2 linked regions of the Sus scrofa genome follow. The protein of the gene in region 2 interacts with the protein of the main gene of each other region in a biochemical or structural test. Links are inferred from orthologs where the notes say so. Each region holds a gene or a part of one and is shown on either strand. Other genes may lie near its edges.

Region 1 (3,747 bases), on a different chromosome or scaffold from region 2:
CCGGTGTTGCCGTGAGCTGTGGTGTAGGTTGCAGACTCGGCTTGGATTCGGCGTTGCTGTGGCTCTGGCGTAGGCCGGCAGCTGTAGCTCTGATTCGACCCCCAGTCTGGGAACATCCATATGCTGAGGGTGTGGCCCTAAAAAAAAAAAAAAAAAAAAGACCAAACGAAGAAAGGGATACATTTGGAGTGTGAAAGTTTTAATGTGATATATTAATATATACTGGTTATGTTTGCTGATTTGGTTTAATGTGGTTTGCTGATCATTTATTCTGTTAACATCCCTTTAAATAAATGGACCTGTATTTTCTTGTTTTTCTTCCTCTAATAATTATCACTGCCTGTCTTCCTATTGTCCTTTATCATCCAGTCACAGAGGCACCTAAACAATGTTGCAGTGCAGGTACAGCCACATTATTTTGTTTCTAGAAACTTCGTGCAGTTTGACTTGCTGATCAGACAGCCAAGCCCTAACAGAACAGCGGCATTTCCTCCCTTCCCCCCATTGAAGAGTACCATAAATTTTACACAAGGCTTCCTAGCTCAATCTGGGGAGGGGGGAGTCATAGAAGAGCGGGCATCACAGTCTTCCAGTCTCCTACACATGGGTCAGATATTCAAAAAGACATATTTGGATGGAAAACTACTTGCTTTATTTTCGAAGGAGAGAGGATGCATGACTCACGTTATGATTTTGCAACTAAGGACAGTTCTAACTTTAAGAAAACCTAGTATTCAAAAATTAAAACTTTAAAACAAACTAGGTAGCAGTTACACACATATCTCTGTTTACCAAAGGTTTCACCAGAGTTTTAAGCAGACATCTAGTCCTTTACACTTTCCTCATTGTGTTTCAGAAAGCTATTTATAAACTTCAGGAGTCTATTTACTTTATAAAGCTGTTTTTGTTGTTGTTTTTTCAGGGGCGGGCCCGCGGCATAGGGAAGTTCCCAGGCTAAGGGTCCAACCCGAGCTGCCACTGCTGGTCTACACCACAGCCACAGTAACCCCAGATAGCAGCAAGGGCTGCGACCTACACGCAGCTTACCACATCGCGGAATCCTTAACCCACTGAGCAGGCCAGGGGTGGAACCCGAGGGCTCATGGAAACTAGTCGGGTTCGAGTTACCGCTGAGCAACAGGGGAATTCCCTAAAGGCGATTGTTAAACAGTAATAACCCTGATGACAAAAATCATTTTTAGGAAAATTGAAAAAATAAAAATACTTTAAAATTTATAAATCATCATCATCAAAATCATCTGTAATCCCAACGTTAACACTGTCATCACTTTGCTTTAATTTCCCGCAGTTTATGAAAACACCGTATGTGTACACGATGTATATTATTATGACATACCCGTTAAGGGATACAAGGCGTGTATCATTAGAGCCCGTATTTTACCCACTTGGGTTACGCGGGGCGGGCGTGGCCTTCTGAGGCCCCGCCTGGCGCGCGGAGGTGTGTCAACTGCAGCAGCTGCTGTTTATCCCCCGAGCCCGGAACCAGCTGCTGGGCTAAGGCCGGCCCTAAAGACTCTCGCTCCTTTCTTCTTGCTGCTCCACCTCCTCAAACTTTCCGCTTTCCACCGTTGAAAGTCTCCTGGGCATCTAGCTGGCTCCAGCCCTCCCACATTCGCTGCAAGACGAAAAACCCTCTAAAAGCCGCAGTCTCATCAGAGAGAGGAAAGCAGCCGACACTCCGCCCGGAACCAGAAGGACGAAGCACCGAGGCGGGCGGGGTGGCGCGCGCTCCCGCTTGGGCGCGGCCCCCTCCAGCCCCCGACCCCGCCCTCCGCGGACGCGCCGCGGCGGACACGCGCCCGCCCCCCTCGACGGAGACGCGCCGGGGGAAGCGCGCGGCCGTCAGTCCGGGCGCCATTTTGGACTCGGTGTCTGGGCCCGCGGTGCAGGGGTAACTACGCGGGGCTCGCAGCTCGCTGAAGGCGGCTCTTGAGGGGACTGGGGGTCCCGGCAGAAGCACGCAGGCCGCGCGGGACTGAGAAGAGAGGCTTTTCCCTCGGCCGTCAGAGCCGCAAAGGTGGAGCCGAGTTGGCGCCCGCCCCGGGACCAGCGCCTCGGATGCGAGCGGAGCGCGGGGGGCGGCGGAGGCGGGAGCGCGAGGCGCGGGGCCCCGGGGGCCTCATGTGAGAGCCACGGGACCAGCCGCCCCCGGAGCCCGGGGTGCTGTGTTGGGGAAGCCGCCCCTGGCAGCAGGTAACGTTGGAGGGCCGGGGCCTTCGGACCTTGGCCCGCGCCGGGGCGGGCCGACAGGGAGAGGGGGTCCCGGGCGCGCGCCGGCCGCCCCTCGGGAGCGCGGGGCGGGGCGCGGCGCCCGGGCGGTGGAGCCTGCTCGGGGGCGTTGCCCCGTGTCTGCTTCAAAACAAGTCAAAAAGGCGTGGTGTGTGTGCGGCGGCCGCTTGCAGCCTTCCCGCGACAGCGCCGCCCCTGCCGTCGGCTTTGTTACCCTCGGCGGGGGCTGGGGACCGGCACCGTGGAGCTCTTGTTCTGCCAGGCTCTTCCCGGTGTCTGTTACGGCCGTGCTTGTAGCGTGAGAAAAGAGACTTTAAGGTGTCAAAACAGACTGCCCTGGGTAGGGCGCAGGAGAAATGTCTGGGAAAGCCTATTTTCGGGAGTGGCGCGGGAGGAGGGGACACCCCTGCGCGCGTCCCCGGGTGGAAAACTTGGTCAACTTGTGATGGGCTGCTTCCCGCCTGCTATGAGCGAGAGCAGCCCTTTCAGGTGGGATTGCAGACATGGAACAGGAGGCAACCCATTAAATGATGGGCCTGCACCTCCAAGCTAAGAGATGAGATGACTGTTATTTTCTGATCCTGTCCATTGCGGCCCAGATCTTTCAGAGTCTTCCTATCCCTGAAATCTTTACAAAAATGCCGTCAATTCCCAATTATCTACAAATGACCGCTAAACAGATTTTCACTACCACACTCTCTGATACCATTTATTTCTGAGTTAGTCTCTGCACTGTTTTATGTTTTACTCTTGTATTTCAGCCAAAGAATGCATACTAATTTTGATATTATGAAAGACTTTTTAGAGCTAAATACAAAAGGGCTTTTAAAATCACTGCAAGTGCAGGGTGCTAAAAGTGCCTAATACAATGAGGGACACATGGCTGAGTGTTCTCTTAGGCTCTTCATTTGATGAACAAGTTGACTGCTTCTTTCAGAGACTCCGGAAATGTGAGGAGTTAATTCTGTAACTCCCTGTGCTGCCCGACTAGGCCAGAAACTGTTAGTTCGCCTTTTTTTTTTTTTTTTTTTTTGTCTTTTTAGAGCCACACCCACAGCATATGGAAGTTCCCAGGCCAGGGGTTGAATCAGCTACAGCTGCCAGCCTACACCACAGCCACAGCAACGCAGGATCCAAACCACGTCTGCGACCTGCACCTTAGCTCATGACATCACCCTATAGTTAACCCAGTGAGCGGAGGCCAGTCATGGAACCCTCATCCTCATGGTTCCTAATGGAATTTGTTTCCACTGAACCACAATGGCAACTCCTTAGTTTACTTTTTGATGCTTCTTAGTAGCATCAGTCCCTCACCAAACACTTTTAGTGGCCGAAGTGGCATTAGTTGTTTGGAGCCGGGAAAAGTTGTAGTTTGAAGTGAACTCCCAGAGCCGTAAAGAGGCCAAGTATGCTAGGTGCTCTACAGAGGTGTAGGTGCTCCACAGAGTCTCTTAGACATTGATGGCGCAGCTTCTCTTCTGCACTCCTGTTCAAACG
Region 2 (3,747 bases):
CCTAGGATTGTAACAACACTGTGGTTTAGACAGTTGTGCCAATTAGTGCCACTCACTTGCGGATTAAATTGCTAACTTCCTTCATTGCTCATTCCCAAATTCAGGAAGGGTGCCACCTAGAGCCAAATTGAGACGGCCTCTCCATTTGATAATGCCAAAGCTCCAGGCTAGCTTAGCCCACCATCAACACATCAGTGGGGGTGTTTACAGGCTTCTCCTATCATTCACTCATTCAGTCAATCAGCAAGCCCTGTGCTCGACTCCAGAAGAGGGCTCCACCTGGCTCTCTTGGGGACGCGTGGGGAATATCCTCCACATCTCTGAACCCCACACAGACTCCAGTTCAGTCCTTTACACTCAGAGTTACCCCTAAGTCTATGACAGAACTAAAAGAAAAATTCATGTGATGGCTTTTTTTTTTCCCTCTTGCTTTTTAGAGCATATCTGCAGAGTTTGGAGGTTCCCAGGCTAGGAGCTGAATCGGATCTACTGCTAGCCACAGCAACTCAGGATCTGAGCCGCGTCTGCAGCCTACATCACAGTTCACAGCAACACCAGATCTTAACCCACTGAGCAAGCCCAGGGATCAAACCCTCATCCTCTTGGATACTAGTCGGGTTCATTACCGCTGAGCCACAAACTGGGAATTCCAATGATGACCTAATTACAATCTCAACCCACATTCTCCACAATTCCAGTCCCTAATCCCAACCCCTCTACTGCAGCACATCAGGGCCCACACTTTGGACTCTACTACTTGTAAATGCCAAGTTGCTCAACGCTGACAGAGGTGTAGTATTGTGGATAAAAGCAGAAACTTCAGATTCTGAATAATCCTGGTAGAAGTATTAGCTGTATGATATTGAGCATGTTACTCAACCTGCAGCAGCCTCGGTTTTCTTTGTCGGTAAAATGAAAACAGCTCTTTCACTAGGGTTTGTTGAAAGAATGCAACTCGTCTGAGTTTACAGCAGTAAAGGAGACAGCAGCGTAAGGGTATTATCACGTTGGTTGGCATCTAATGGAAGCTGTATTAGAATGCTGTAATGATGTATGTATAGAGTGTGGTAGATGATTATATTGATGACGAAGATGATGTAGGACAGCCGGTGGTCTGTCCTTTTAAGTCATTTGCTGGAGTCACAGCAACCCTCGCCAGCCCACACAGCTTCCAGCGCCAGGCCCTAAAAAAGGAAGCTGAGCTCCGCCGTTCCTCGGACTTGGTCCACGCCCAGACCTCCTTGGGGACCGCCAGCCTGCGTCACTAGCCCAGCCCTCCGGCTCCTCCCGGCAGGGCCCACACATGGTGGGAACGTGAGGAGGCGGGGCCAGACATGGTGCCTCTAACCAATCGCCCGGCAGGAGGCGCCCAGCCAATAGCAGAGGCGCTCCAGGGCCTGAGGGCGGGGCTCCAAAGAGTAGCGGCGCGTCATAGGTCACTGGGCCAGCTGGGGGCCGGGCTCGCGGCGCCGACGGGGGCGGAGCGGCCGCAGTCAGAGCAGTCCAGGCAATGATGGCGGCGGCTGTGGCGACCGCTGCGGCGTCCTCCCCGGCTCCCGCTGCCGGCGCGGAAGGCGCCTCTTCGGTGCACTGGTTCCGCAAGGGGCTGCGGCTCCACGACAACCCGGCGCTGCTGGCGGCGGTTCGCGGGGCGCACTGCGTGCGCTGTGTTTACATCCTCGACCCTTGGTTCGCGGCCTCCTCTTCAGTCGGGATCAACCGGTGGAGGTGAGGGGGCCCCGGGCGGGTTTGCGGGTCCGGGGAGCGCAGTCTAGCCTCTGAGGCACGTACCCTAAGAGGGGGGAGGCTCTGGCCCCAGTCCCCTCTGCTGAAAGCCCCCGACCTGAAAGAGATGGGGCAGGGAGGCGCAGCTGAGTCTCCAGTGGGGAGAAGCCGCGACGTGGGTAGCAATTAGTCCCATAGTTAGGGCTTGGGTGGGCCAGGGCTCAACCTCTGGCACGGCGCGTTCTCACTGTGTTATCCCTTTTGGTCCTCACGACGTCCCCGTGAAACAAAAATCATGATCCTCATTGTACCGATGAGACTCTGGAGTCTTAGAGATACAAAGTTGACCTGCCCAAGGACTTGCAGCCGGCGAGTGGCAGAACAGGGACTCCTGGTCTAGGGTTCTTAGGGTTGTGCTCAGGGAGGGGAGGACGGGAGCTATTGCGGTATGAGGGCCGGGACAGGTTTCTGAAATAGCACGGCAGACACCTGCATTCTTCAAGAGCGCTCCTGAAGGTCGTCTTAAGCTTAAGCCTCTGGTTTGTGTGAATTCATTTTTTCACCTATCCTGTCTTCCTTCCACCAAGATCATCCAGTCTCTGGAGGTGTCTAGAGACTCTGACTTAGCATTAGGTAGGGCAGGTGCCTTTGCTCCTTTATTGTAAATAAAAGAACATGCTCTCAAGGGCACGTTCATTGAGAGGCACTCTGTGTCCTGGGCTAGAGAGCAGACAGCAGTACTTAACCTATTTTGGAGAATTCCCTCAGCAGCTATGGGCTTGCTAAGGAAAAAAGCAGGAGGGGGGAGGAAGAAGAAAAAGAAACAAAGAGTCCCTTACTTCCTCCTCTTCTCTTGAGATTGATTTTAAAGGACAGTTGAGCCTGTAGATTAGACTCTTGTCAGCTGATGTGCTAAGATTTGGGAGCAGGCAAGCTGTGATACCAAGGGGCCCTCTTTGATGACTCCCAGGATCATGGGAAAAGTTTAACAGGTAGTTGATGTGTTTTCTCCATAACCAGTGTTTAAAACAAAGGTGTTCTGAGACATTGTGTACCCGTCTCTCTTTAACAAGTCTGGCAGTCGTCCTCTAGTTTGTTTGCATTGTTCTGGAGGTGTTTGCTTGTGGCCTTGTTGCACTGAGGGGCAGAGTTATTCCCAGGATACGCTGGCTCCCCATTCTTTCCTCTCCAAGGTGTGTGCCCTGCTAGGAGAGTGAGTGCTTCTAGCAGTGGGTCTATTAAATGCCCCCCTCCTGCCCCATTTATATGGAGGGAACAGCTAAAGATAGTTCTGTGGAGAGCCTGCCCACACAGTTTTCAGTCTGCTCTATTACTCGGCCCTTGCTCCAGTTTCTCTAGATAGGAGGTTGGGCTGACAAACATCCTCAAATGACCAGCCATCCCTAGTGTGGACTTAGCTTGGACTAAGCCTCAGACTTTGCCCCTCTCCTGATGGCAGTGTGCCAGTCAGAGCAGAGTAATTAGACTCCAGACTACTTGTTTGTTACATTGTCAAGGAGTTTCTTCTTTTATGGGATTTGAGGAATGTGGCATAAAATTGCCTGTTCCTTTGCAGTAGTGGAGATTAAAAATCAACAACAGGTGGTCCCATTGTGGCTCGGTGGTTAAGGATCCCTGGCTTCGCTCAGTGGGTTGAGGATCCAGCATTGCCGTCAGCTGTGGTGTAGGTCACAGATGCGGCTCGGATCTGGCATTGCTGTGGCTATGGCTTAGGCTGGCAGTTACAGCTCCTATTTGACCCCTAGCCTGGGAACCTCCAAATGCCGCAAGCGTGGCCCTAAAAAGACAAAAAAAAAAAAACCAACAACAAAACCTCTGTTGCTTATTAAACTCAGATTCTCTAGAAACTAGGTATTTAGAGATTTTTGTGGGTCACCCTTTTGTAATTGTGCTGTTGAGTGAGTAAAAGAAAAAGAATGTGGCAGCTCAGATGCCTATATCAAATCCTGAAGTCAGAGGCTGTGTAGGAATGCAGATGTTAATTGAGCGTTTAATGAGCAC

What was found.
Region 1: the proteins of CRY2 (region 2) and FBXL3 form a complex in vitro, tested with the Homo sapiens proteins (2 studies listed by BioGRID, with this or other methods). The link is inferred for Sus scrofa from reciprocal best matches to the Homo sapiens genes CRY2 and FBXL3.

The regions. Positions count from the first base shown.
Region 1 is NC_010453.5:49,149,140-49,152,886, reverse strand, and holds the start of FBXL3 (F-box/LRR-repeat protein 3), read left to right. Parts: upstream 1-1,506; 5' UTR 1,507-2,214; intron 2,215-3,747. UniProt on the Homo sapiens protein: Substrate-recognition component of the SCF(FBXL3) E3 ubiquitin ligase complex involved in circadian rhythm function. Plays a key role in the maintenance of both the speed and the robustness of the circadian clock oscillation.
Region 2 is NC_010444.4:16,618,085-16,621,831, reverse strand, and holds the start of CRY2 (cryptochrome-2), read left to right. Parts: upstream 1-1,451; 5' UTR 1,452-1,510; coding exon 1,511-1,728; intron 1,729-3,747. UniProt on the Homo sapiens protein: Transcriptional repressor which forms a core component of the circadian clock.